4 linked regions of the Tamandua tetradactyla genome follow. The protein of the gene in region 2 purifies or fractionates together with the protein of the main gene of each other region. This does not show direct contact. Links are inferred from orthologs where the notes say so. Each region holds a gene or a part of one and is shown on either strand. Other genes may lie near its edges. The genes, in order: ETV4, COP1, ETV1 and ETS2.

The links.
Region 1: the proteins of COP1 (region 2) and ETV4 purify together in Homo sapiens (affinity purification with mass spectrometry; 5 studies listed by BioGRID and IntAct, with this or other methods). This does not show direct contact. The link is inferred for Tamandua tetradactyla from reciprocal best matches to the Homo sapiens genes COP1 and ETV4.
Region 3: the proteins of COP1 (region 2) and ETV1 purify together in Homo sapiens (affinity purification with mass spectrometry; 4 studies listed by BioGRID and IntAct, counting the BioPlex papers as one, with this or other methods). This does not show direct contact. The link is inferred for Tamandua tetradactyla from reciprocal best matches to the Homo sapiens genes COP1 and ETV1.
Region 4: the proteins of COP1 (region 2) and ETS2 purify together in Homo sapiens (affinity purification with western blotting; 3 studies listed by BioGRID and IntAct, with this or other methods). This does not show direct contact. The link is inferred for Tamandua tetradactyla from reciprocal best matches to the Homo sapiens genes COP1 and ETS2.

The regions. Positions count from the first base shown.
Region 1 is NC_135332.1:23,857,197-23,864,313, reverse strand, and holds the start of ETV4 (ETS translocation variant 4), read right to left. Parts: upstream 3,014-7,117; 5' UTR 2,963-3,013; intron 2,749-2,962; 5' UTR 2,698-2,748; coding exon 2,638-2,697; intron 2,433-2,637; coding exon 2,339-2,432; intron 2,101-2,338; coding exon 2,053-2,100; intron 1-2,052.
Region 2 is NC_135330.1:30,141,527-30,149,292, forward strand, and holds the start of COP1 (E3 ubiquitin-protein ligase COP1), read right to left. Parts: upstream 3,002-7,766; 5' UTR 2,817-3,001; coding exon 2,398-2,816; intron 1-2,397. UniProt on the Homo sapiens protein: E3 ubiquitin-protein ligase that mediates ubiquitination and subsequent proteasomal degradation of target proteins.
Region 3 is NC_135327.1:110,437,599-110,445,277, reverse strand, and holds the start of ETV1 (ETS translocation variant 1), read right to left. Parts: upstream 3,006-7,679; 5' UTR 2,930-3,005; coding exon 2,560-2,929; exon of another isoform or gene 2,414-2,559; intron 1-2,413. UniProt on the Homo sapiens protein: Transcriptional activator that binds to DNA sequences containing the consensus pentanucleotide 5'-CGGA[AT]-3'. Required for olfactory dopaminergic neuron differentiation; may directly activate expression of tyrosine hydroxylase (TH).
Region 4 is NC_135336.1:103,035,259-103,043,022, forward strand, and holds the start of ETS2 (protein C-ets-2), read right to left. Parts: upstream 3,005-7,764; 5' UTR 2,938-3,004; intron 1-2,937. UniProt on the Homo sapiens protein: Transcription factor activating transcription. Binds specifically the DNA GGAA/T core motif (Ets-binding site or EBS) in gene promoters and stimulates transcription.

The sequences.
Region 1 (7,117 bases), on a different chromosome or scaffold from region 2:
GGGGTGGTGCTGGGACGGTGCAGGGGGACAGGGCCCTGGCAGCTGCATCTGTCTCCGCAGAGAGAGTGAGAAGGAGCGAACGGCCTCAGCATGCCCCCCTCAGGCCTGGCCATCCATCGCCAGCTGGGGACCTGAGCCGCTCCCTCAGAAGGAAGGAGAGGGAACCAAGGAGATCCCAGCCCCCTCACCACCACCACCTCCTCCTCCGCTTGGCGATCCCCACCCCCACCTCCCCACCCACTGGCTTTAAATGTACAGGGGCTCCCAGGGCAGTGGCGTGTTACACACACACACACACACACACACACACACACACACACACGTGTGCGTGCGCGCGCACACACACACACACACACACACGACACACTGTCACACCAACACATACAGACACATGTACACTCTCTAGACCCTAACAGCCATGGGTGGGGCTTCCAGGGTTGAGAGGAGATGAGAACATTTTCCTCTCCATCCCAACCCAAATCCAGGCACAAATGGATCAGGTGCTGCCAAAACATCAGCCTCCAAGCGGAACGCACTCCCCACTTGCAACAGACCCCCCCCCCCCACCCCAAGTTGTCCACTGTAGGAAGTGCAGGAACCCTCAGCTGACACCAGGAGCCGGGGGAGCTAAACTGCAAGCAGGCAGATGGGAAAAGAAGTATTTGGGAGAACAGGGAAACTGACACCTCTGTGCTCTTCAGCTCCAGCCTAGCTCCAGCACCCCGCAGGAGGGTGGGCAGAGTGGGCAGAGCTGCCCCGGACTGTGAGCCGGACTGTGAGTGGGCTGCAGGGTTGGCAGACTTGGGGAACAGCCCCACAATACCCCCAATCTCTTCCAGCCGTTCAGCTATTAATTCTGTAAAATGTCGAGTACTTCCCTATGGTAAATACTTATCCTTTCAACACATATTTTTTGGATAATACAGTGTCCAAGACAGACCTAGTCTTACCCCAAAGATCATAGTTAAGGGACTTTTCCTTCTACCCTAAATCCATAAAGGGTTTGAGGAGTTGGGTTTGAGATTTAAAAAAAGAAAAGAAAAATCCATTAAAGAAAAATACCGAAGTGAAGGGATGGGGAGAACCCAAGGAAAAGAAAAGCCTCCAAAGTTGGGGTTCCTACTGTTTTGGTTTCTTGGTTTTCTGAGTGTTGAAATAAAGGGAACCTGAGAAGGGACTATTAACCCTTCCCTCTCAGATATTGTTCTAACCCACTATTGTGCCTCCACCTGCAGCGCCACAAATGACACCCTAAGGCCCCACGAAAAAACCAACAAATCTAACCAGGAGACTCCCAAAACACACTTGGCCACCCAGACAAGGCCCAGTCACTAACACCACCCTAACCAGCTCGGAGCTAACCACCCCCCCCACCCCCACCCCCAGCACACAGGAAAGGGTATTTGCCTGGGGGCGGGAGGTATTCAGGAGGGATGGAGGAGAGAGGGCAGTTGCCATTAGAATTGCAATCGCAATCAAGCTATTTGGGGAAGAGGTCCTGGGCCCTCTTTGCCAAAGTGCAGCAGAAAAGAATTATTTAAACTTTTGTTGTTCTTTTGGCTCAGATAGTAAATTGCTCGGTGCTGAGGGTTGAAAAGAAGGGAAATCAAGGGGGGTGAGAATTCATGTGTTGGCAACTCCTGAAGATGGGCAGCAAATTAATTGTTCCTTCTCCCCATCCTACTGTCCTCCCCTCCCCCCAACACCCCAGCACCCCAACACACACCTCTGCCTGCCTGGTAACTGCTGCCAAACAGACTTTACGAATGAAAATTTCAACCAGGGAAACGGGCCTGGGGCCAAGTTCCATTCAAATAAGCAAATACCCCACACAATGGTCTGATTCATCCCCAGGCCTAGTTACACAAGCCTGGCTCAGGGCAGAGAAAATAAATATCAATACAAGTGTCCACACTGGGCGCTGGGAGAGCTGAGAGGCAAGGGATAGGGGGAGAGGGTCTTCGGGAGCCACTTGAGACTGGGAAGGGGAGAGAGGAAGTGGCCAGAAAGCCCCCCACACCCAAATATAGAAAAGGTCACAAAACTACTCACCTTCAGCGAGCCAGGTCTCCTGGAAGTGACTTAGATCCTGGAAGAGATCTGAGGGGTGAAAAACGGAATTGAAGAAGGTGAGGTGGAGGGGAGCGTGAAAGAGGAGCTCCAAGGAGCCCGGTGAGTCCCTTGGAGGAAGTGTAGAGAAGAACAACCAGAGTCCCTTGGAGGGCGAGTTCCCTTTGGGAAACCGCCTGGGGCTCCAGGATCAGCTTCGGGAGTGTGTGCGTCTGGGAGCGGGTCGCGGGGTGTCTCACTGTTTTTTTTTTTTTTTTTTTTTTTTTACCTTCGGAGTCGGGGGGCGGCAGGGAGCCGGGGTCCATGAGCTTTCCCTGCGGGACCATCAGCGATTCGCGCAAGCTCCCATTTCCAGGCGATTTCTAGGAGAAGGGGGAGAATGCCACGAGTCACCCCGGTCAAACTCGAGGGTGGAGGTCCCTCGGTCCCGGGAGCGGGGCTGGGGTCCCGGGGTGACCCAGAGGCCGGTAGCCCCGGACCCCGCTAGGGCCGCGGGGAGGGGGTCGGGGGGCAGGCAGGGGCGGGGTGCGGGGCGGGGGCGGGCGTGGAGGCGGGCGCGGCGCTCACGCTGCAGAAGGTGTAGGGCACTTGCTGGTCCAAGTATCCGCCTTTCATCCTCCGCTCCATCCGGCCGCTCCCTCCCGCGGCAAGGCCGGGGCCCCGCGCGGGGGCCGAGACCTGGGAGTGGGGGAGGGGGCTGCGTTCGCACACTGTCCCGGGAGGGCTGCGGGGGGTGGGTCAGGGGAGTGGGGGCGGCGGGGGCGGGGAAGGGGCAGTCCAGGGGTTCTGGATCCGACGGCGAAACTTCTCCGACTCACTCCGGCCAAAGGGAGGTTTCCGCCCGCGGGGCGGTGCGCCGCCGCCACTCCCCTCCCGCCAAAGACTATCCCACCTGCTCCCGGGAACCCGGCTCCCGTTTCTGCTGCTTTCTGCAACCCTGCTCTGCCCCAGCTCGGTTACATAAGACGTTTGTGTGTGTGTGTGTGTGTGTGTGTGTGTGTGTGTGCGCGCGCGCGCGCGCGCGCGAGGAGGAGCGGGCAAAGCGCGCACCATTCGCACGCGCACAACTCCCGCGCCCCCTCCAACCCCGAGTGCCAGTGCCTCCCACTCCCCCTGGAATCCGCAGAGGCGGGTGGGTGAGAGAGAATGCGGTGTGTGTTGTCGGCGAGGCGGGGAATCAGATGCTCTCCCTCCTTTCCCTCCCGCAGCCTCACCTGAGGCAGGGGTGTCGGTGCTGGAGCGGCGGGAGGGTCGCCAGCATGCCCCTAGGCCCGCAGAGAGGGCCGCGGGGTTGGGCCCAAGTGAGACCGCCCGGGTCCCCCGACCCCCGCGCACCCGCTTGTTTTCCGGGCGTCGCAAACAGTTGTGAGCCCGGGGGAGCAGCCAATTGGTGCATTTCCTTTGCCTCTGCCTCGGCACCACCCCCACTCCCCCACCTCCGATCCCTTTGTTTCATTGACTTTTGTGAATGAAACCCCAGGGCCGGGCACGCTCGCCAATCAGAAGCCTCGCCCGGCCGATTCGGGAGGCGGAGTTTCCAAGCCCAGGGACCAATCGGGATGCAGGGGCTGGCTCTCGGCTTCATTCACGGCTCGGGCTCCCATTCATAAAAAAATAAACTCGCGGTCGGAGTTCATTCATAACGAGCTGCGAGGAAGAGAGGAAAGCCGAGGACCCTGCCGAGAAACTCCGCGGCGGTCCCTGGCTCTGAGATGCCGCGAGTGCCTCTGGCTGGCGTCTGCACACGTCTCTTTGCATCCGGGTGTACGTGGGAGTGTGAACATGTCTCTGTGTGTGCCCTACAGGGAGGCTTGTGTGTCCAGAGAAACAATAATAACTCGCATTTATGATGAGCTCGGCTTCCACGTACTCATTCGTTCCCAAAACAGGGTGAAGTGGGTCTATTGTTTCCATTTTCCAGAAATTGAAAATGAAGGCTTAGGGAGGTGCGGTGACTTGCCTCAGTTCACTCAGCTAGCTAGAAAGCACTGCTGGGATTTACGGCCCCCAAACTCGCCGCACCCCACCCCCACCCCGTCCTACTGTACTGTACAGACCTTTGAAGCCACCATTAAATGAGTTAAGTCATGTTGCAACATTTGATACACAGTAGGCACTCAATAAATGTAAGTTGGCATGAAATCTAGGCTTTTTCTCAAGGGTCTGTGCTCTGCAGGAGTGTTTGTGACCCAGTTTCTATTGATTGCAGCAGGAAACCAGAGGTCACAGAATGGTAGACTTCTGAAAGCGCTGCTCTTGGCAATCTTTCCTCTCATCTTGAGAGCAAGCATGGGGTATTTAGTGAGCAAAACCCCAAGGGGTCTGATGTTCTGGGGGCAGGACTGGGTATGGTTTTGGCCAAAAATTTGGTCACAGCCTGTGACATCTCATTCATTCACCACTTTATTCAATAAACATTTATTATGCCAGACACAGTGTTGAGTAGTACGCAAGCAGCTGCGACCAAGACAGATAGATGTCTGATAGGACTGAGATTCTTGGACAGCAGCTGTGGGGTAAAAGGCCTAGTACCCCAGGCCTTTTATCTTACAAAATGCACTGGTATTCTTTGAGGTGAGGCCGATTTTGCTTCTTGTCTGTGTGCAACAAACACAGGAGACTGGCCAAACCCTGAGCCAGTAGGAGCTGCTTTCAAAACTTCATCTAATCTAATCCCCCCACTTTGCAGACGAGGTAGTGGAGATTCAGAGGAGGGAGTGACCCATACAAGGTCTTTCACTTGGTCACTGTCAGAACTGAGGTTAGAACTTCAAACCTCTGGCACCTTTCAGGGCTCATTCGAACACCAGCTCATCTTGAGCAAATAAAGATAACCTTCCCTCTCTTTGCTAAAATGTTCTTTAAAGGCTCATCTCTATTGCTCCTCTCCTCTAGGAAGCCTTACAGCACAGCCTCAATCAGATCTCTAAGGCTGTCACAGCATCCTTGTCTATATCTCTGGCAAGAATGTCCTTCATTCTGCTTCATCGTACAGTCATCCTTATGTATGGCAAGCTCTCCAGGGCCCAGAGAGGTCTTGTTCACCTCTGTAGTTTGTACACCACTACCCCTAACCTGCTTCCTGCTAATGAGGGTCCTATGAAATGCCTGTTCAGTGAATACATACAATAAACAGCAAATTAATCCAATTCAGTAAGAACCCTGCCCAAGGAAGGGAAGACAAGTCCAAGCAAATGCCAGCTTTGAATTGGGTGGAACCAGTTTAAGGAGGAGCATGTGTCCTGGGGCCAAGAGAGGTGGAGTAGGACAGAGGGTTCTTCTGCAAAGGCAGCGCTGACATTGTGTCTATGCCAACAAAGATTCATCTGGAGTGTCCTTGAGCAAGCCCTCTAGCTGGGGCACTCTAACGAATGCTCCTCTGGTTCTGAGTTGTGGCATTTCCTGGGAGGGCCTCTGGCTCTGTGGTGTTGCCCCTCCCCTCTCCCTATCCTCCTCAGGCTATGCAGAGGCTGAGGGACTTCCCAGGCTCCAGCTCAGCATGCTCATACCCGCTGAGTGACAGATACTGCTGCACTGCCCCTACTGCTGTTGCCGTCACTTTGCCCCTGATTCAACACCCAGGCCTGGTGCAGTGACATCTTCAAAGGGGAGCATTCAAACCTCTTCCGGGGTAGTAGGGAATGAAAAGAATGTGATAGGTTGGAGATTTCCTTTGGGAATCATATCAACATTTACTGAGCACTTACTGTATGCCATGCCTTGTTGTAAGCGTTCAATCTGTTTCAGCTGTGGCAACCTTCACAGCAGTCCTGTGAGGTAAGCGCCATGAAGATCACCCACATTTTGGAGTTGAGGAAATAGAGGTCTCACAAACACACATCTACTCCAAGGACCCCCACAACAGACTGAGGACACACGCAACCGACTCAACAGACACACGGCAGGCCAGGGGAAGCACATGCCTGAGCCAGAGAGAGCACACCAGATTCAGGGTGCTGGGAGGCCCCTCCCGGACACACAGCTCCGTGGAGGACACATACAGCATACTTCCTGACACCCTCCAACACACCTTAGGTAGAGGCTGCACAGGTAGGGAGGAAATGTATCCTTTCTGCTAGTATATTGGGGGCTGGACCCTGATCTGTTTCCCAGGAGTCTAAGTTATAAAATGTAAATGTGGGTGTTAGATATGCAAGCCTATGGCTTGCTTTGAGAGCTGGAAGATCAGCACCCAGGGATGAGAAAGGAGAGGAAGGATTTTGAGGCATCTGGATCAGACAACAGGTGGCTTAGGGGCCTTTGGGAAGAGCAGGCTCTCTCCAGGACAGGTTTCAGTGAAGGTGGTGGCAGAGGGTTGGATTTGGACATTCTGTGGGTGACCTGTCCTGCCTAACTGTGAGGAGAGGATGGAAAGGTCCCTGTGGGCATGGTTTCCTTAGCACTTGGGATAGTTAAGAGTCACAGAAGTTTAAAGAGTGAAGTTCAGAGGGTTGCCCTGGGAGACAGCTCAGAAAATCCTGATGGGTGGCATCAACAAGGTCAAGTGGTGCCCTGTGTCCCTGTAGTGTCTCCCAGGCTAGAGCTGTCACTGGGTATGAATCAGAGAGCAGGGTCAGGTAGTGGGGTGGGGGACGCTGGGGGTCTTCCTCATGGGCTACTGGGTCAGGGCCAAGCAATACAAGAGTTGCTCTTGAACTTCCTTCTGACATTGTCACCATCCCACTTTCACATCAATCCCTCTGAACTGCAGGGGTTCCGATACCTGGGTCCGTTGATGTGAAGCCCCTGTACTAACCGCCTGCACCTGTGTATGTGCGTATGCAGATGCGCGTGCATTTTTCTGAGAAGAAGTTCCATAGCTTCCATCAGGGTCTTACAGAACAGGTCTGTAACCCAGTCCAACCTTAGGGAACCCTACACTAATGTCTTTTTTTTCAACAAACTTTATTTCTAGGTTTACATTTTAGATTTACAAAAAAAAAAAAAGGCAAGAAGTAGAGGGTTCCCATATACTCACCTCCACTCCCACCTCACCCCCTACTCTTGTTTTCCCTATTATTCACATCTTGCATTACTGTAGTTCAAT
Region 2 (7,766 bases):
GTTGCTTTCCTCTCATTTGCCCGATTTAAGAACCATCAGACTAACGATTTCATAAAAAGAAAGCACTAAGCTGAGAACTGGAAGATCCGAGTTCTCACTTTTGTCCCTTAGCTGTCTGATCTAAAACAGTTACTTAACTTGTCTGTGACTTAATGGGAATTTAATTAAATTCGTATTATGTTAAAATAGGAAGTGCTCTAAGAATAAAACGAGATGTGAGATACAAAAATATATGATAAATAAATAAGGAATAATCATCATTATTCAAACTTGGGCCTCATGTAGATATAAAACTAAGAGCAGGGCAGGCCATGGTGGCTCAGCAGGCAAGAATGCTTGCCTGCCATGCCAGAGGACCCGGGTTCGATTCCTGGTGCCTACCCATGTGAAAAAAAAAAAAAAAAAAAGCATAGAGCAATTTGGTTCATACTTCAACCCTTGGGCCTACCAGAGAGACAAGCTACCTACAGCCAATTAGAAACTAAAAGGATTTGCAAAGACTTGCCCAATCCATGTCCTCCTACCCAAAGGGTTTGGCCAAAATCAAAACTGGCTGGAGAAACTGAAAACAGATTCCATTAATTAATTCTTTCATTATTCAACTTCACCAGAAAAACAAATAATGGACTAATAAGCTCCCAGAAGTTGAAATATTCAGAATTTTTAACTGAAAAATCTCACTGATACTAGAATATAAAAGAAAACAGAACAATCTAAGGAATATGGCTAGGATTCGAGAGTGGATTAAAATTCTTAGAAGTAAGGTGATGACTATTAAAAATTTTAATAATCTTGCCCTTAAAAAATCAGTGCCAGCTGTTTCTATGTCCCCTGTCCTCACCAAATCTCTTTAAAATGGCCTAAAGTACATGCAACTCATATGGTGCCTGTCAATGAGTACTAAATAAATGTTTGTTGAATGAATGATTTCTTTATTTCTTACATCTTTTGTACTATTTTAGTATACATATACAGATGCTGGCATTTGTTTTCTTTAACCTGAAAAGTGAAGTGTAAATGGTAACTGAAATGACTAAATTCTGCAAACCCCCACTTTGTTATATTAGCTTCTACCTTATCATATGGCACTCTCTACTGGGCATGAGGGCAAACACCCAACCTTAAGCTGCTCAAACTATTTATAATCACAATTATAGACGAATTTCAATGAAAAAAATGAGTTAATTTTTAATCCAGAATAATTAAGACTAAAGCAGAAATATGAGTAGACACATTTTTTTCTGGAGGAGCTAAAACCTGAAAGTCTTACCAATAACTTCCCTTTAAGTTCCAATTCTAGCTCTATCACATATAATGACACCAACTCAAGATTATCTTTAACCCTGAAAAGTGAATCAACTTCTCCAATAGCACAAGCCAACTTCTTACATCACTAGTATCTTAAGCCTATCAACAATTTCCTCCAGAGGAAAAGGACAAAATCCTACCAGTTCTCAGCTATAAAACAATCCTCTCATAATCCTACCAATATCCAAAGCCCAATGAAAATCCCAAACCCTATCGCTAGACAACTCTAACTTAATACGGGTAATCTCTCTATGTCAAATATCATGACTTAATATCCCTGTGTATCATTCAAAATGCACAAAACATTGCGTTGTTTTTTTTATGACGACAAAGTCTCCAATATCTAGAGTTTCTCAAATTAGTAGTTCCTGTATTACACTGTGTTCTACAAGCATAGTACAGTTTGCCTGATACATTGATGGTACTTAATAAATACAGTTCCTCTTTCAAGACATTCAATTAAGAAGTTTTTTTTTTTTATGAACAGACTTTTCTGATTACAGTAGCCTCGAAAGCAGATTTAAAAGCAAGTGGTCTGCACTTGGAAATGTGAGAAGTTGTATCTAAACACACATACACATACGGTGGATATTTATATTCAATACTACTTCCCCTTAAAACAGCCTCAATCCCGTTTTTTTAGAGCTCCATGCACAATACTTCCAATAAGCAACTTCATACTTCCAAAACAGAATTCCATCCCTCTGTTCTGTACAAACTTAATTCACCTCAACAAGAAATAAAACTGATCTGGGGTACCTAATATACAAGTTGGCCAGAAAAAAGCAAGCTTCAACCTGCTTGCCCAATTTTATCCTTTTTTCTATCATTTATGTGACCCTCTATCTCTTCTCTCCCATTTATTTATTATTCCCTAAACTCCTTTCATTTCCTCCCTACCTGCACTTATCTTTTCATTACCCACCCTGCCTCAGGACCCCATCATCCCATTCCACCACCTACTGGCTCCCATCTCTCTGACACCACCATAAGAGCACCAGTATCCCAAGCTCTCAGGCAGGCCACCCTCTCACTGACCCCAACAGATACTCTTAAGGTAGCGAGGCAGGAATTACTCTTCAAACCCACCACACGAAGTCGTTGCTTTTGTCTTCGTAGGAGTTGATGAGCCCGTTGCAGAGTGGGGTGAGCAAAGGTCGCTTCCTGCTGCCGCTACCTAGGCTGGAGCTGCTCCCACCTACGCCGGCGCTGGGCCTGGCCGTGCAGCTGATCCGGGACAGGCCCGCGGACACCGCCCCGCCGCCGCTCCCGGCGCCGCTGCCCGACACGGCAGCCGCCACCAACACAGGCCGCACCGAGCCCCCGAGGCCGCCCGAGCCCGCGGCCTGGGCCGCCCCGCCGGACACTAGCGCCGCCGCCGACGCTGCCACGGAAGGGGGCGACGGGGAGGAGGATAAGGACGAGGAGGCGGAAGTCACCGAGGAGGCCGCGGAAGAGCCAGGGCTAGTCCCAGCGGAGCCCGACCCGGCCTGGCGGCTACCGGACATCGTGACTCCCTCTCCTCCGGGGTTCGGAGGAGAGGGACCCGGACCTCGACCGGCCGCCGCCTGCCCTCCGCTCAGCCTCAGTGCATCCTGAGGACGCGCGCACGCCGGGAGGTGGGGCTGTGGAACAATAAAGTTATTTTTTTAAGGCAACCACACAACAGCGTCCGATGGGAGGGGGCGGAGGAAACTAATGAAGGAGAGTAGAAACCACTACCGCTCTCGAGGCCGCCGCCGCCGCCGCCGCCGCCGCCGTGGTCGCAGCCGCAGCCAACCCCGGCGTGCCGTGAGCCGGCCGTGCGCGCGCGCGGACGGCGGAAGGGGCGGGAGCGGCGGGGAATACAACTTCACACAGTCCGAGCGACCCTCAGCGCGCACCAAAGCCTTGGGCGCTTAGCAATGGGAAAAATCCCTTGTCGAAAGCTGTTTTCGTGCCTGACATATTGGAGGGAAGGCGTCTTAATCCAGTGAAACTGCTGAGGAGAGTGAACAGATTAGTAAAGAGTGGCGAGGTAGTTTACAGGACCTGGGGACGACGGGGGCGCTATGGGTGACTGCGCACGCGCGCTTTGGGCGCAGACCCTTGCGGGTTTGCCCGGGTGTCCCAGCTCGGGACCAAGAAGAGTATAGCAGTCGTTAAGTCGCTGTACACGCATGCGTGGGAGCGAGCCGCATTCCTCCTGGGTGTGAACGATGCGGTCGCTGCCCTCTGCGACGCAGACGATGTGACTCAGTGGCGCCTTACCAGTTAGGGATGAAGGTGCTGTAAGCACACGGAAGGGAAACGTGAAGCGCGGAGCAGTGGAAAGATCAGTAAACTGAGACTCCAGGCCAACGGGCTCTGCTGTTAAGCTATTCGATGATGTTGTGAGAAAGTAAGATGAACTTAGTAAAAAGTGCTTCGTGAATTCCAAACCTTGTAGCAGTTACCAGTTTTACAGGTTCGACTGTGAGCTCACGCCTATATTTTGAAAAGTTGTTTACCAAGTTGAGTATAACAATTATGGGAAACGAACTATACTTAATCAGACAATAGATTATTCAGAACCTTGGTTTAATGTGGGCCTGATATAATTCTGGCACAGAACAGGGAAACCTGGCACCCGAAAATGTGCAATATCTTTTAGGTGTTGTGGAATATTGAAAATTGTTTGCAGACTTTTGCTTATCACTTTGAGAATGCCCAAAATTCTAGAGAATGTAAGTTAGAAACAACTGAACTGTGTGATTTTTAGTATCCTTTCCAACTCTATCATTCTATGACTCTTAGAGGAAAGAATCCCAGATTTAATTGTGTCGTGGGTGTTGAAGACACATACAGGAGAAACGACATACTTACCTGACTGTCTGTGGCCCGGGGGGCAGGATTAAGGACAAACCTGAATGAAGGTTCATCCAGCAACCCAAACCTCGCTGCCCAGCTGGGCAGTGATGGCAGACACCCTCTTCCAATTCAACCTTAAACTGCTCACTCATATTCCAAGATTCTTGGGTTTAGCTCAAGTTTCTGCTCAGAGTAATGGTATAGGAATTGCGTTATCAGTTTTCTAAGAACCATCCTTTTCATGCAAAAATATTGCAATCCCTTGTTTCAAATCACTTTCAAGACCCAACTGAAATGTGATGCCTTCCCTAACTCTCCTTGACAGATAATAGGGCCGTCCTTTTTGCTGCCAAGATGTTATGTTTGCACTTATTACATTGTATTTTAGTTGTTTATATGTGATTCTTCCCTACCATCTGCTTCAGTATTATACTACCAACATGGATCACAAAACATGGCCTGTGATGGGTGATTACTAAGTGTTGACTAACAAATGAGTAAATGTATCCATTTCATTTTTTTTTTTAATTATTTGTTCAATGTCTGTCTTACCAACTAAACTGAAGTTCCATGAAAGCAAAGATCAGCTTGGTCCTCGGTGGATATTCAATTAAGTATTTGATGATGGAATACATAAATGACTGAATATAATGAATTTGATGACTTTATTGAATGACATTAAGCATGGACGGGGCAAGGAAGAGACAACGAAGTGTATAAAACATTGTTCCAGCATTCAAGAAGCCTATGGAATAATTGAGGAAATAGAGAAATATACAAAAAAATAATAATAAGTAATGATACCAAAGACCACATGCTAAATGCTTAATGAGTAAAACAGAATAACTACCGGAACTGAAGCAAGAGCAAGTACTGAGGGACAGTCATTTTTGTTGGAGGAAGGAGTTAGGCCTTTAAAGAAAAGTCTGTTTTTTTAAAGCAAAAAAATAAGTAAAAATGCTATGTCAAGTATAGATATCTAGAATGTATTCAGGAGAAATTCATCTGGGAGGCCAGATTGGAAAAGGCCAGTATCCAGTTTGGAAAATATGCTTTAGTTAATTGGAAATAATGAAGGTACAAGTTGGGGGAAGAAAGTATTCAAAACGTTGTTTGAAGAATACTGAGCTATCAACAGATTAATCTTTCAGAAGAGGTGGGAAATTAAGAGCAAATAGACGAATCAGGAAAAATTACAGCAGGCCAGGCATACGTGATAAGAGACTTGGATGGTAGCAGGAAAGACAAGGAAATATTCTGGAAGAAAAAAAAACAAACTATGGAATCTATAGGACTAAGTTACTCTAAAACAATCTTTAAGATCCTCAAGGGCATGACTCTGTCTGTTTTATTCATCTCTGTGTTTCCCAGTGCTTAGGCACAGTACTCGATATGTTAAATAAAAATGATAGAGCATGAAGAGAAATGAATAATTCCAAAAATTACTCTGGGGATAGCAGTAGTACAATGACAGAAGTGGAGACTTCCAGTGGATAATTTAGTTGGAATGTGCTGATGAAAAACATTCAAGTAAGTATATTCAGGCAGTGACTGAAACTGCAGGGCTAAGGCACATGCAAGAAATACTTGGAAATTAGTAACGGAATGTAACCGAGAAATCAGGATTTAAGGGATGATTTTGATATAAATATTCCTTTTAGCTTTCTGATATTGGAATAGACAGGGAAATACCTGAAATCTCTGAATTGTAATCCAGCTGCCGTGATCTCTAGTAACGGTTGTATAGCCCTTATCTTCTCTCCCTGTGATTGTAAAAACTTTATGACTAACCTTCATCTGTACCTGGTTATCTAGTTTTTCAACTTCAGAGTCTTGGAATCACTAAAGACAGCCCCTTAATGTTTGTTAATGAAGTCTTGGGTCCGCCTGAAACTAAACCACCCCAAGTCCCAAATTATCTTGATGACTGAGACCAGATTTAACCTTAAGTGGGTCCATCTGACATGCACAGTAGCTTGGGCTTTAACCTACAAGTCACCCATACCTCATTCCGCCATTTTCCTTCATGTGTTCTGTGACTAAGCATGTAATCAATCTGCACATGCTCAATAATCACATCACCTCTAATTATATCATCTGGGGTCACTCTGCTCATTATCCTAAACCCTGGTTACTTTTTCTCTAACAAAACTACCCGAATTACTGCAGTTCTAGAAGACAAATGTTGGGTCATTAGGACATCTGCTCTCCTACTACGTGCCTAGTAATAAACTCTTTCTCTCTTTGAAACCCTGGTGTCTCAGGAACTGGTTATTGAGCACAGCAGGCAGAAGAATCCATGGCCTTTATCTGGTAACTGGAATAGTATACCAATCTTCAAATAGTTCATACTTGTTGAACATATTATTACTTCTGTGACTCTCTAACTTTGGTGCAGAGAAGAATTATGTAGCGAGTTTGTTAAAATTGCAGATTGCTGAACTCCACCCTAGAGATTTTGACTCTATAAACCTGAGATAGGGTCTACAAATATACATTTTTCCCAGCATCCAAGTGAATCTGATGCAGGTGACCAACCCTTTGAGAAACACTACTTTATTATGTGGGAGAGTTACAAGGAATATGTGAAGCAGTCTCTCTTCCTTATTCAAATGATAGAAAGTGATATGACCCCAGCTGAGTCCCCTAGGAAAAAAAATCAACACTGATTAGTATTTCCACTTTGAAACCTATCTTCAATAAAAATCTAAATCCTCAAAACTGAAGGGATGTAATGCAATGGAATTTCCCTTTTATACCAGATTAATGCAGAATATACCAGACTATATTCCGAAAACAGTTTCTACTGCAGAAGCTTCTGGGAAAGCAGAAGAGAAAAGAGGAAGCATAGCAAAAACAAACACAGAGAAGGAAGTCAGACAACTGAAAATAAGAGAAAAGAAATAGAGAACAGGAGGAGAGAAAACAATAAAAAATGTAAATAAGGATTAAGTAAAAAGCAAGGTTTAATAGTTAAAAGAACTCCATTGTATTTGACAGGAAAACGTCAGCAGTACCACAGCAACAGCAGGCGTAAATAATCGGGGGAGGGACAAAAGTTAAGGGAAGGTTTAGATTTCCTATTTGGTGAGGGTGTGTTAATTGGCTATCTTTCTCTGAGGAATAATGAAATTATCTAAAATTGAGAGTGTTGATACACTGTGGACTTTGAGCACTGTACATGATGCCTAATGAATGCAGGTGGTTGAAGGATGCAATGACAGAAGTAGATTAGCGAATGATGGTGTATACATATGATAGCATATTGTGCTGCTACAAAAGGGAACGAAGTTGTGAGGCATGCAACCATGTGGAACATTTGATGAGGCAAAATAAGCCAGAAATGAAAGAACAATTACTGTGTGGCCTCCTTTAGAAAATGCTTATAAGAAAACAGGGGCCTAAATAGTAAGCTCTAATGGCAGACACATTTAGTCTGGAGTGGTAATTATTATTTCTGGATTTTGAGAGGCTGTTTTATGTATCTATTACCTGGTATTTAGAGATAAAAACAAAGCCAGTCAGGTCCCGATTTAAGGTAATTCAGAATACAGGGATAAGGAAGACATTGTCTGTATTTTAGGACCACATCTACGCTTTGAGACCAAAGGGAGAAAGGCGTATTTTGT
Region 3 (7,679 bases), on a different chromosome or scaffold from region 2:
AAAGGTAGTCAAGGTCCAGATTTATAGAACAGTTTTCTTTACTGCTAAAGAATGATGATTTTATCTTGATGGAAATTTAAGACGAAAACAGGCAAATAGCTGTGGGTTAATGCCATTACATAGGTTGATTGGAAAAGGGGATTAACTGAAGGCAATAACACCAATCAAAAAGTTGATTCATAAGTTCAGTCAAGGTAGAATTTGGATGAGAATTAAGGCTGTGAAACAGAGTAGAGGTCATGAAATTAAGATATTTTTAAATTAAAATATCTTTGAAAGGGAGAATCAATGACTTGACAAGCAACTTGAGGTATATGGCAAAGAACCAAGTGAAACTGAGGATAAATCACAGATTTTAGTCTTACATGTTGATGCCATTAACTTAGAAAAAAGAAGTAGGAAGAGAAGAGAAGCGTGGGTTAGTAAAAGTAATGATGTCAATGTTAGACATGCTGAGTGTAAATTCCGTGGAACACCAAGCTGAAGCTCAGGGTCGCTGTGTAAAACTTCTACACTGACACAAAGCTGAGGGCTGTGGGGCTGAGTCCCGAGGATTTGAATCTTTAAAAATTTGTCTAGGATTCTAGTGATGGATCAGGTAAAGGTGTTCAGTCCACAGCTACAGGAGACCCCGCTGCAGACAGCAATGTAGGAGGAACTACCACAGAGCTCTGCTGGCCAATACAGTAGCCAGTCGCCCCCACAGAGCTATTTAAAGTAAGCAGAACTAAAATACAGTTCTTCAGTCCCATTAGCTCCATTTCAAGTGTTCACCTGGCGATCAGGTTGAGTAGGTACTGCATTAGAAGGCACAAATATAGACCATTTCGATCGTTCCAGAAAAGTCTTTGGGACAGTGCTGGTAGAATGTGTAAACTGAGACAAAAGCTTTGAGGACAGAACCCAGGGAAGGAAGAGGTACACAAAGAGAAGGTCAGCAAGAGGAATGGAGTGAGGAGGGGTAATCAAATGAGCATACAAAGAGAAAGGAAGAAAAAAAAATCACACCATTCTGACCAAGGGGAGAGAAATTTCAAGGAGAGGACATGATCAAGAATAAGAAAAACTGAAAAGAGTTCAAATAAGAAGAATTTCAAAAATTACCTTTAGGTCATTTATTTTGCCCTAGCATTTGGTATTGCATTGGAATTGTTAACAATTTCTTCAGCTATAAAATGACTCAGTGAGACATTCTCCCACTCAGATGACAGATTTGGCTTTTAGAAAGAATTCAAATTCCCCACAGAGAGGACAGACAATGTGGGAAATGTGGCCATTCTCTTCCCACTCTTTAATTAAGAAGGGGGGCCCTGCATAGCTGTGGCTCTTCTGGCAATGTTTCAACAGTCTCCAGTTAAAGGGGTTTTCTCTGCTGAATACGTTTCTTGAAAGCATATCCAAGTACCTGTATTCGGTCATCAAACAGCCAAGAAATTCTCTTCTCAGGTTAAAAATCAAGCTGAACTAAAACAAGGTTAACATCGGAGAAATACGGAAGAAGCTTCACTCCCTCAACACCTGAGAAATTTAAGACACCAAATATAGTAGAAAACATTTCTCACAACCATGTGTTACTTGAAGTAATATAGAAATTTATATTAATTCATGATACCCGGGTATAAAATTATGGGTTAGATAAGTTGTAAGGTATTAAGAATCTCTTATTGCTGTTGATAATTGCCTCTGTGAAACTGTAAGTGGTCTGAGAAAAGAATCAAGTTAGAGCTTTAAATGGTGCTAGGAGAACACAAATGTATTAGGCTAGTTTTGCAATCAAGATGGCATCTAGACACTTTACTATTCGTACTCTTAGGTCAATCGCTGCAGTGAGATGGTAGAACAGCAAAGTATAAATACCAAAAATAAGCCCCAAGGCAACCATGTTTGTGCAGGCGAAATGCTCACTCTGCAATTAAGGACAGGGAGGCAGTAACCCATGAATCACTACTCCTGCATCTCTGACAAGCTGACCCTGGAGCAAGGCTCAGGAAAAGGAAAACTGAAGGGACGCTGAGAAGCTAATGGCTACTTCCATTTGGCTTAATGCGATGGAGAACAGAAAACTTCAGGCTAAAAATTAAATCAAAGCAGGTGACAGATTATGCATGTAAAAATAAAACAGTGCAATAAGTTAATGAATATTTGATCTAGGATCTTTTATAAGTTATTCAATAAATAATCTCATGGATTTTAACTAATGACAGCAAAATGGGATTTTTTCCCCTGTGAACATAATAGCTCACTGGATGTAAACACTTGCACACTCATGGATCACACTGATTCCGCTCCAGGAATATTTACCCAATATGAAGAACAGGATACTATTTTAATCAAATCAGTTGGCCTTGGTTACTTATAGAGCTCTGCTAATGTCATACAGGGATTGTGATGATGTCACAACCTGACAAATAAAACAGCCCGTAACTGTGGACAGAAAGGGCCCTGGTGTAATTCAACAACAGACACTGGAAGTAGAAACCAACCAAAGAGGGGGAGCAGGGTATGGAGGGAAGGAAAAGAAAAGAAAAATGAAAGAGATGGCATATACTATATACTTACAACTTTCAGCCTGATAGTCTGGTACAAACTGCTCATCATTGTCAGGTACCTGAGCTAGAAGAGGAGAAAAATAATAATAACAAATTAAGAGAGAAATCACCAAGGCAAAAGAATAGCAAGTAAGATCTTTCAAGTAAGAAAATTTTAGACTGAGATCAAAGCTATGACTATTTGCCAATGAGCTCCTATTTAAAATAGTAATGAAAGCAACACTTGGGAGGGGAAAATAGAGGAGATAATTGATGTAAACTAGGGAAAAATATATATATATACACATATATGCCAGAAATATAATGGTGGCAGTTGTAGTCGCTCTGAATTTCACATGCCAGATGGAAATAAAAAGGACATGTAAAATAAAAGAAGCCATAGGAGGGGGGTGTCGGCTGCTGTGGGAGAATGTTGCCTGTCATGCAGAAAGCCGGGGTTGGAGTCCCAGGCCATGTACCCTCCCCACCAAAAAAAAAAAAAAAGAAAGAAAAGAAAAGCTATATAATTTTACTAGCTGCAGAGTGCCTTTTAGCAAGAATAGAGCAAAAGGTATTTCAAGTCACCCACTGCCAGTGCCTGGAGCACTTCTAAATTAAACAATTATTTTAATTGATGCAGTTATATCACACATACCCCTCTACTTCTTAGTATGGATGCTTTGGGTAAGTTTGGTTTATTGCAAATTTGTCTACTACAGTTAAAAATGTTTGTCCCAATTTGGCCAAGCTATGCTACAGAGTTTCTTAAATTAAAAAACCGTTTTCAATGATGATGACCATTTCCAATACAAATTATAAATAATAACTAAAATTCATCTTTTCATGCAAAATATTTTCCTGGTGACTAGTCAGCATTAACAAAAAGAATGTCACTATTTCATCAGTCGTAATGCCAAATGACTACCCTATTTTTAGTGAAGGAAAAATACTGAATAGCAAGGATTTAATGCAGTTGGCAGCAATCAAAACACAAAAACCTTTTCACTTTTAAAATGTTTTCATCACAGTTGATTTAGACAACACAATAACCAACTGACAGAATATTACTAAACCCAGTTTTCACAAACACTCAAATACACACATTGACACAAACTGCATAAAATAGAAGTTAGGTTACTTTTAATTTCATGAAAATATAATTAGTTATTCTAAGTAACTTTGACTATAATCTGATTAACTAGTATTATTTTACTGGTAATATACAATACTGATTTCTATATCCATTTAAGTCAGATGTTAATTTTTTAAATTAATTTCTTGAAATTAATTTAAATTAATTATTTTTTTAAAAAACAAGCCTATTCTGCAGGACAAATCTTTTTGAAAATAAGCAGTCTCTGTTGAAAATGTTTCAAGTTGATAACTGAATGGATTAAGAAAAATTATGTATAAAAAGAAATTAGTTTACAGAATGAAACATAGAATTAAAGTTGCTCTTTTAATCCGTTTATCATATTATTTTTTAAAAACAGAAGTATGTGACAATAAAATGTATATTATTAATAGTCTGAATAACCAATGAAACATTCATCTTAATATTATTAAAATATATGCAGTTTGACATAGAGCTGTTTTCTAACAAATTTCTTCTTCACACCAATACTTAAGCTTACTAAAAATACACAATAACCCCCGCTGCCAAATGAAACCAAACAAATTAAAACATTTTTCAGGTTATAACCAATACTTATTTGATCAGCATATACTGCAAGGAGAATTTTTTCCTCTTTGTATTTCACTAATATCTGATATTCTGCGTAAAAACTTAAAAGTCAGAAAAACTTTAACTCATAGCTTCACTACTTGCTAGCTGTGTACTTTGAGTAAGTTATTTAGCCTCTCTGAACTCCATTTTACTAATCAGTTTAATAGTGATAATAAGGGGTTTTTTTGGTGAGGAGTAAATGAAACTGTGTAATAAGCACTGCCAGACACAATGCAAGATACTTAATGAATATTACTTATTGTCTTTCCAATACGCTACCATCCACCCTTGTCTTTCAATTTACAAAAAAAATCCATTTCAATCATTATAGCACAAAATGTAACATATAATTAATTATACTGCACAGGGATAAAAACAACTAAAATGCATTCATTCTCTTAGTTATTCTCTTAGCTATTAAGAACATAATTTTTGACATTTCAGTGCTTGTTTTTTTCACTTAGATTTATAAATTACCTTTAAAATAAATCTTCACACCAAAAAGATTACAAAAGTATTTTATATGTATTTAATAAATAACATTGGGTCCTGAATATTTTTTTCTATCATCCCCCAAGTTTTGAATTTTCCTCTAAATTAACAACTAAACAGATAACTATTGAGATGCAAAATTATCAACCATAGCAACTGGTATACTTTTAAAAAGCCAACATTTACAAGAATCTAATAAAATTGTAATATCCCCTTTACAGGAATAGTTAAAAATAGCTCGTGAGTTACAAAAGTATATTTGTAACTCAATATGCTGGTAGGAACGTCTTAAAGGCCAGATTTTTTTTTTCCCCTTACTATTACAAGACAAAATTGCAACTCCGTGATATATATAATCTCTACAAGAAAGGCATAAAAATCACTGATGGATGTGTGGTGTGTGTTGGGATATGTGCACAAAAAAGCAAAACTTCAGGAGCAGAAGAATCTAGAAGTTATACTTCACAAATACACAGAATATAGCTGCATACCAACAATTTGTAAAAAGTAAGAATAAGAATTGCTATTTCTGTTCTACCTCCCTTAACATACTGAATAAATACTTCACACTTATGCCTGAACATTTTACAGAATTTTAACAAAAAACATATGACTCACATTTTCACAGAAGCTAATCTTAAGAAACTGAATAGACCAAATGAAGCAGCATGCTACTTAAATAGACAAAGGCTTAAGTATACCTCTAATTTCAAGTTAGACTAAAAGGAAAGCAGTTAACTAAAAACACAAGTTGGATTTGGGCAAGGAAAATATGACAAACCATTGCTGCACTTGTATCATGCTATTTCTTTTTTTCTCCAATCCACAGTAATTCTGTGAAGTAGCACACTACAGCTGCCTGAAAACTTGTGGCAAATCATACCAGCTCCAAAGTTGAAAATTAACAGAGAAGCCAATCCCCCCCCCCAATTTTTTTTTTTTACTACTACCTATTATAAACTGTGCTTGAAACCATCACCTTTGGGAGCGAAATGCTTCCTCCCACACTACGTAATTAAGGAGGAAAGGGAAGAGGAAGAAGAGAAGGGGAAAGTATACAGCAAAAGACCAATAAAAAGCTTTCAAGAAGATTAAGCATGTGGATTTTATTGGTAATAGCTGGAGCGCTTCTATCAGTTCATTGCACATTAATAGACAAGTTGCCATCAAGTCTCAGGCTTTAAAAGGATAGTATCTGCACTCTCAGCTATTTGCTTTACCTAGATTATTATGCAAAGTTGATTTTCCCCCTCTCTTTTTACTACATAGCTATACACACTATGGGAAAGAAATCCATAAAATTATTAATCATGATCTAAATGCCAAAGAATCACTAACCTCATTTTTAATCTTAAATCCTTTCGTGACTAAATTTCCTTTTGGGTAGGCTAGGCAATATTTAAATATAACCTGCCTTTACTTTTTACCTATTTTTAACTTTCAAATAAAATAATAATTATTTAAGAAAAGGTGATGGTTAAATATTCTACAAGGTTGGCTGCAGGAAAGTAAAAGCCCCCCTTTTCTTACAAACTAGGGACCTGTTGAGTTTACTTTTAAGGATAGGAAAAGTAGAAAAATTACAAATAAAACAAATGTCAAGTATAAAAAGGGTTAATATTTAATTAAAACCAGTTCTATCCACTGTAACAATGACCTGGAGCCAAACTAGGCGGAAGATGTATGAGTCATTCTTTCTGCCCGTGAATGAGACAGCTGATCTCCTCAGCAATTCCTCAAGACAAGCAGGCAGACTGGGGCTCTGCCTCCATTCACAAAACAGTCCAGCCTGCGCCCTGTGGCTCAACCGCAATCCTTTCATGTTACACCCTTCCGAAGAGTTAAAGCAAGTAAACTTGAACTTGCAATATAAACACCCCAATTTTATTGCTGTCTGAAATACAAACTCAGATCCAGTAAGGAACACATTTAAATAAGCGACGAGTTGATGAAATGAACATATATATGTACTTAACCCACCCTGCTTCACAAGGAAATTTGTCACAGTAACCTGAAAGTTCAGAAAAGGAAGGAAGGAAAAAATGAAAGGAAGGAGAAAAACCACTAGAGAAATATCTTAATGTGTTGCCTATTATTCAAATTTTCTTAATTATAAGGTAATAACAGATTGTTGCTGAATTTTGGAGCATTTCACTTTTAATCAAAGGGTTAGAACTAAAGCTCCTCTGAAGAAATTTAAAATGTATTTTAAATAAGAGTAAAGTAGTAAGAAAATCTACCTTCGCATAATGGTGTTCTGTTTAATCCTTAAAATAAAGAGTCAGACCATGGAACAAACTAATCATGAGTCCACTAAGCCTGGTTTTGTACCACATCCACTTTTAACATGAAAATGACTGTTCCAATGTGCATGCACTAATTAATGCAGAAGTGTAAACATTCTTAGACAAAAAAAGGGGTATTTTCTCCCATGACGGGAACATCTTTAACACTTGATAAAGGTATTCTTTCTATATACTCTAAAAGAAAGAAAGCAGTAGGTTTAGATGATTGTTTCAAATCAGCTTCAATTTCTAACTCTAAATTGACCGGCAGTGACTTGAAAACTTAAGGATAGTTCAGAGCTAACTAGCTGTTGTTTCTAGCCAAATACTTTCTCCAGTGCTACAGAGGTTCTGTCTATATTATTATTAATATTTTTAATGGCCAATATAGTACATAGGTCAAAGGAAATAAAGTCATATTATGAAATACATTTATTAGGACCCTCTGGGAAAACTATACTTCTGCTATACCAAATCCGAATTTTCTACTTTTAATTTTTTTTTTTTGCAAATAAATACTAGATGAAAATGTATTTATATAGTTTCAATGAATGTTTAGAAATAAAATATATTTATTCAATGTGCTCTCTTTAAACCAGTCCAAATGAGAAGTCTTTCCCTTGTATTTAGAGTATTTCTTGGTGCAAA
Region 4 (7,764 bases), on a different chromosome or scaffold from region 2:
GAAGCCATATGGAGGCACCCCAAAGCCATAAACGGGGCACCCCTCATACCTTCGCCCTACCCTGTGTTCTCCATTGTATGCTCCCACCTGTTACAACCAAGAGCTCAGAGTAATAAAAATACTGTGGAATTTGCTCAACTTACTGGAGATAGCAAATTGCATATTTGCACATAACTAATTCTGTTTGTGCTTTCCTGTTGTCTCTTTATGGTCAGTATTTGCAGTTAAACCAGACTTCCCAAAGACCCCGCCACCCACGGGGTGCACACACAAACACACACACAACATACACACGCACACCCCTAGGCTAACATGGCAGTGTGGGAGGAGGCGAGAGGCTTCAGAAAGAGCTGCTAAAACCCTGGGATTATAGGTAATTAGATTACTGATAATAAACAGCTCTCTGGGTGGGGCTTGGGGGAGGGGTTCCTGGGTCTACTTCCTCTGCTCAGAAGCTCTTCTCGGTTGAATTTATCACCCACAGGGACTCAAGTATCAGTGTTCCCCGCTGCTGGCGACGCCCGCTGGCAGAATGCAGACTCAGCGGCCTGCTAGGGCCAAGCACGTCCCTACCTCCTAAACCTCCCCAACACGCCAGAGGCAGATGCAAGCCCATCTCGCCTTGAGGCAGCAGCGTCCACGAACTCGTCCCGGATCCCAGAGATACTCCGGGGTCACCGAGGGGCAGGGAGGACCCCAAATCTTATCTGCACATTTGTGCGTGACCCTGAGTCCTGAGCTGCCTCCCCCGTGTCAGGAAGAGCCCCTTCGCCCGCCCCCGGCCTCACTCCGAGACAGCGCACACCTGTCCCCAGATTGCAATCCTCTTTAACTTTAGAGCCTGATGTCACTGGGCTGGATGATATCACGCGTGCTACCTGTGGCAGAAGGGCAAAAGGCAACCCCCTGGGTGCTGCCTGGTACCCACGCAGGGTCCGGGAGGACAGCTCTTGTTCCCGGTTTGGTCTGTAGGATGTGGGCTTGCTTCTCCGGGTTTCAGCTTCCCAGAGACCAAAGACCATGGAAGGCAATGGAAGGGCTCTGCCTGGCTCTTGTGTACAAATACCAGGACGAAAGGCAGCTCACCACTCCCACATAAAGAGCTGTAATTGCTAGCTACAGAGCCGAATTCTTTTGTTGTCCAGGTTTTAATGAGTTTTGTAAAAACCATGCAGAATCAAAGTGCTCTACTAAATGGTTTCAGGCAGACACATCACTAATCAAATTTAAGTTCATTTATTTTCCTCAACATGGCTTGTCAACGTGACAAGTTTCACCACATAAATCAAGTTCAAATGTAGGTCCCTCTGGTGTTGCTGGATGGATCACTCCTTTTGAACCAAAAAGAAAAGGGGGTGGGGTGGGGGGAATAAGGACAGAATGGAATGGCTAGAATTGGTCAAAATTCAAAACAAGAACTGGCCTGACCACAGCACCCCACTGGGAGAAGTGATCAGTTACGTAAGATTAGAACGCAGGCTTGTATTAAGGTAAAATTGCGGGGAAATAACAAACAAATCTGTAACCCACTATGGAAGGCCCCTTTGCTGTTTTCGCTTTCGAAAGTCACCAGTTTAGAGAGAGGAATGACTAAGCCCAGAAATGAGCGTTTGAATATTTCCCCGAGGGGGACACACACGTTGCTGTACTGTGAGATTACTCAGAACTTTAATAAATCTTCACCTGGAGATTTATCTTGGTGATGGCTGGTGATGTGGGCAGGCAGACAACACACCGACTTCCATTGTAAGGAACAATCTTCCTAATGGTGCATTAAAATAAATTACTGCCACCCCCCAGGTGGACAGCTCACCTCTTTACTTTCCAAAAAAGAAGCAGGTCAGTTACTATCTTAGAGCACTCTGAAATGTAGTACAGTCTCACATAAAAAGCCTCATGTGCCCTCAAACCAGCTAACCCCCAATCCCAAACCCACACACAGAAATGCTCAGCTATCCCTTCATTCAAAACGCTTCAGGAAAGAGAACCTCACGGCAGCCCGGCGCACCCACACCCACGTTTCCAACAGGACCCCCACCCCGTCTGCCAAGCTCGCCCCCCGAGGACCAAGAGCCTACCCCCACCCCCCGCCCCGATCCACAAGTCAGGGGGCACCCTCGGGAGTCCCGCCCAAACAGCAGGACGGGAGGGCGCCACCCCCACCCCAACTCCCTCTGGCACCTCCCTCGCCCGCCGTCCCCCGCCGGGACCCTGGACGTGGCCGAGCAGGTGACCGGTGGGCGTCGTGGCGGCCAGAGGAAGCCGGGCCCCGGGCTCCGGCACGATTTCGGGGTGCCGTAGCCTGCTAGGGGGCTTATACGAGCCTCCCTCCGGGTCCCGCGCCGCTCCACACAATAGGGCGCCCTAGTAAGACATCATGAAACCCGGGGCGCGCTAGCGGCCACCGCGGCCACCCTCCCTCCTGCGTCCCCAAGCCCCGGCGCGAAATCAAGCCCGCGGGGCACCCACAGGACAAGAACCCCCGTAAAGAAACCCCACCAGGCCCGCGTCGCCTGCTAAGAAACAAAGCCCCGGAGAAATGAAACAAGCGGCCGCCCGGCCCGCGGAGGCCCCCGTCGGCCCCTCCACTCCGAAGGCCACCCGGGAACCCGGAAAACTGGCCCCCAGCGGAGCTCGGACGCGCGAACCTCGAATTCGAGGAGCAGCCGCCACCCCCACCTTGACCCCGGGCTCTCCCGGCATCTAGACCTCGGTGTTGCCCACGGACCCCCGCCCAGTTTCTGAAACCCCCCTACCACCGAGAGGAGTCGGCGAGCCGGAGGGGGCTCTCCGCAGACCTCGGGCCACGGGGGTCGGAGGTGTGGATCTCCGGCCCGCGCCCCCGCCCCGCAGGCAGCCCCTCGCCGCCCGAGCCCTGGGACCCCGGCCCCGCAGGTGGTCCCTCCCGGCCCAAGCCCCGGGACCCCGCGCTCTTACCGCGCCGCTTCGGGCAGGGCCGGCGCGCAGTCGGCGGCTGCGGCTGCTCCGGGCCTGCGGGCTCCCGGGGTGCGCGCTGGGCAATGGGCGCCCGGTGCTGGGCGAAGGCCGAGGGCGAGGGCGAGCGCGGCGGATCCGGGCCGCGGCGGCGGGGGCGGCTGGCGCGCGCGGGTGGGGGCGCTCGGCGAGGCCGGGGCGCGAGCCGGGGTGGGCGAGCGGGTGTTGGGGCTGGGACTAAGTCTACACCGCGCTCCGCGTCGCGGCTGGAGGAAGTAGCCGGCCTGTGGCCCTTGCGGCGCGCTCTTCTGGAGCCAGGGGAGGAGGGCGGAGGGAGGAGGGAGGGGAGAGAGGGAGGGGAGGAGGAAAAGGGAGGGGAGAGCGGAGAGGAGGGACCGAGAGGCGGGGAGAGGAGGAGAGAGGAGGGGAAAGGAGGAGGGGAAGCCGACGTGGAGGAGGGGAGAGGAAAGAGGGAGGAGAGGCAGGGGAGGAGGAGACGGAGGAGGAGGGGAGGAGGGGAGGAAAGGCGGAGTGCAGCGCAGGCCAGCACCCGGCTCCTCCCGGCGCCCTCTCTCCGGCGCCCGCTGTCCCAGTGCCGCAGGGTCTGGGCTGGAGCTGGACCCCGGGCTCGGATCCCCGGCCCCGCGCGCGCCCTGGGATGTCAGGCCAAGAGTCTTTCCTTGGAGGGATCCGTTTTCCCCGGCCGTCCCAAGGCTTTAGCTCCTAGCTTGGCAGTCGAATTCAGCCCGAATGGAGAGGCCGCAGATTGAGCTGGCCCGGTTCCGGGACGAAGGATTTCTGGCAGTTCTCTCATGAAAAGTCTCCAAATGAGGTTATGAATGTTCAGTTTTTGGGGGGTCACCTAGTTGAGTCGTGAAAGTGGATGTTCTCTGCACAACCCTGGGGAGCCCCATTCTTAGCGCGCCCGTGTGTGTGGCGCCCCCTAGAGTTGGGCGGTGCCTGAATCAAGCCCTGAACTCTCACTGAGCATTCTGGTTGAAATGCCTGTGGGGGTTGCTTATCCCCGCTGTACCTGTGGGGGGACTTTAATCTTGGAGGCAATCCCTAGCTGGGTTGTAAAAGGCAGATGGGAAATTCAGGGTTGAAACCCGAGTTTATCTAACTCCCAAGCTTTGTGGTCAAACCCACCACTCATGCTGCTGGTTTCCATGTTTTATCAGAAGGCACTCGAGTCCATGGCTAGCAATGTGTGGATTTCCTATTTAGGCTCCAGGTCAGATTGCCGATGCTGTGGAGGAAAGTTCTGATTCCTGCTGGTGTATGAAACAGAAAAGTCCCGCCAGCTCAGGCAAGGGCCTGTGGCTGAAAGTGCATCTCAAGGACTGGGCTGGAGGTGAACAGGATAGCCCAGCCTCTGTGTTATCCAGCGGCCCTGATTTCCATGACAGCTCTGGATCTGGGGTTAGCTGGCTAACTGACATCTTTCCAGGTATCAGCAGAGCTTGTGTCAGAGACAGAGTCTGCACACCTGGAACAACAGGGAGCAGGGGAGAGCGGTATTTTTCGGTGACGGAATTGACTGGATGGCCTGGATCAGAAAGCAGATAAGGTCAAGATGTTCCATAAACGGAATACAGATCCATGGTAAGTTGCCATGGAGATGTGAAGAGTGCATTGCTTAAAAAAAAAAAAAACGTACAGCAGAAAAACACTGACTCATCAGGGCTGTGATTTCACTAATATAGGGGTCCCACCCCCCACCCCAGACTACTCACTTACACCTAGCTAGTGTCTGAGAAGCTGGGTGTGCCAGCGTTTCATGAAGTCCAATTGCCCAAAGTGGGCCACCTTGTCCCGCAGCTCCCACTTCTGTGCCTGTGGGATTCTCATGCTTTCTCCAAGTTGTTGAGGTGCACTGACTTTTGGGGCGACAGCTTTCACTGGTACAGACAGAAGCTGAGAGGAGGTGCTTTGTCCGTGCTGGGTTCTTCCAGCATCTGAGCAGAGAGATGGAGAGAAGCAGCACAGCACTTTGGAGATGGCCTTCCTCGGCTTGCTAACTCATGACTATTCGAACCAGTTATTTTACTTCTCTAGGGTCAGTTCTCTCTTCAATAGAATAAGTGAGTGGTTAGAGACCTATGTCACGAGGCTGGGGTGAGCAGTTGACATTAGGCTGAATCTGTAAATAATTTATCAGTGTTGTAGTATGTGGTAGAGAAAAGTTCAACATGAGAGCTAGTTTGTTTTTTCCTCCAAGCTCCCCTCTGGGAGCATTTTATGAAAAACCCTTTAGAAAAAACACCTGTCCTATGCATAAAACAGACCATCCGGACCCTCTCAGATCTCAGAGGATCTGTCAGAAACAGATCACAAAATGCAGGCTCAAAGAGGTGCAGGAGGGGTGTAAGCTGGGCTGTGTGCCTGGGGAGTGCCGGTAGATGACGGCGCCCTCATGCGCCTCCTCAAGCCTGGTGTCTCGACTCCCTCCAGGGCCCTCTCCTGGCTTGCTTCACCTTCCAAGGAGCCCTGGGCTAATCCAAACAGCCCCCCTGCCCTGGGCCGGCCACTGTCCCTCTATGCCTGGGCGGTTCCACGCCTTTAATAAAATGGCATATACTAGTTCTGGGGCAATATCGGAGTTCCTGATATTTCCTTCCTGTTTTCAGCTGGTTTCCTGGCTACTTAGCAGAACTCAAACCCTGCCTGGTTGAAGCCTTGTGGTTATTCATTGACTATTATAGCAGGATTCACAAGGAACGCTGGGCTTCGCAGTCAATTAAACCTTATAAATGTACAGCACTTGCACCTGAAGATCAAAAGTTAAAGGTATTAGAAGGAAATTAGAAGTCAGAAGGCACCCGGGGTGAAATGATCAGATGCACTTAGATCAAGCTGAATTTAAAAGCCATCTAATTCTTTTCTCTTAAGATAGAGAGAAGCTCATGAAGAAAAGAGGAAAAGGGATATTATGATAGAAACGCATAAGTGCATGTATACTCTATACCTAAGATGTAAAATGCAGAAAAAGTTTACCAAATCATCCTTGAAGATAAATTTTAAAAAACACGTTTCTTAGTAACGCGTCCATTATTTGCCTTGCAATCCAAATCAGTGGAGCTGATGCACAGTTCGTGGGGGTTTCCAGTTGCAAGTTAAACAGACGTCATTTGGTCTGTGATGTATCCTTTATTTATTCATTCTGCAAACATGGTGGTGGGTGCTGGGCAGGCAAAGATGAATAAGGTTTGGTCCTTGGCCTTGATGAGGTGAAGATACAGACTAGAATGAAGTACAAAGTGTGGTAAAATTCACACACAATAATGGAACTTTAAAAATCCTGGGGGTAGGGGGCTGGGGAGGCAAAGAATGCCCTTAGAGATAGAAATCTTTTGATTCCTGTGTATTCTGGCACCTGTGTTTTCTAGGTAGACTATTTACACTGCAGGCTCTTGGAGGTGTTCAGGGATAATGTTTATTCGAGTGATGTATGTTGGGGTCAAGGAACTGATAAAGACAAGTTTGATAATCCAAATATATGTGCAACTATTATCCTGGCCACTTGACCCTCCATTCTTGCCCATTTGCAGGCAGGGCTCAGATGCCAGGAATCCAGCAGCCTGCCAGCCTCCTAACAGGGAGGTATCAAACCAGGCAGCAGCAGGAAGCTTTTATTCTTTTCTTTGTGCTTCCTCAGAATTGCAAATACGGGATGATCCTGGAGGTCAAAACTTTTCCTCGGGTCCCACTAGAATGCCTTCTGCCTATTGGCAGCCTCATCTGCCCCAAGGGCTCATCATCTGTCAAGTTTGGATAATATCAGTACTTTTTTCCTAGGGCTGTCATGATGATTAAATGAATTAATATTTTTCAAGCACCCTAGGAAAACCCCTGGCACGTAGTTCAGTCTGAGTATGTGATAAACAAGCAATGGCTCCCTTGACCCTGGGGAGGCCGGTTTTCTACATCCTCTTCACTCATCCTTTGAACACTGCTTTATTTTAGACTCTTCTGCATATATTGGAGGTGATGGTTCTTTCACTATAATTTTCTTTCCCTGGTAAGAGACCAGAGAAGGAAACACTGAATTTTAAAACTGGAAAAACACCTTAGAGAGTTGATAACAGAGACCAGCTCCTGTTTTTACAGAGAAGGAAGCTGAGGCCCATGGAGAATCGATTCCTTGCCCGTGGTTGTGTGGCTATTTCCTGGCACTGCCTACCAGCTCCGCCAGCCACCTGCTGGCACTGTCCTCTCCCTTATAAGGCAGCATTCTTGGAGTGTACAAACCACCTTTAAAATCCACCGTGATAGGAAACGGCATGATGACATGCTTTAGGCAAGTCTGAACAACAAAAATAGACATAGAGACCCGCTGTGTTCTGTAAAACTGATAATCCCTAAATAAATGTGTCTGAAAGGTGAGTCAGCCCTGTGCAAATATGTGATTTTATAATGGTGTGATTTTTCTGAATCACAAAGTGACTCCCACAGTATGTGATGAACTACATAATGCACAGAGCCTGGACTTTTTTAATCTTGCAAACTGGAAAACTGAACCCCTAGTCTTCACCCAAAGTAGGAGTTAGTCATTATTGAACCCGTCAGTCTAGCAAATGACTAAAGGAAGGTTAATTCGCATGCCACTTTTGGCAACAAAATAAAAACATGGATTAAAGGTTTAAGGCTAAATATGTAATAGACTTAAGCTGGAGTGTGAATAAATCATAAGAAAACTGGAATGTTTCAGTTGCATCGATTCTTTTTGGGAATGGCTTTCCAATTGCTACAAGTGTTTTTCTCCCCTCACTTTATGTTTATGATTTTTTAGTACCTTATTTCAGACCAACTGAGCTACTGGTGTTTCTT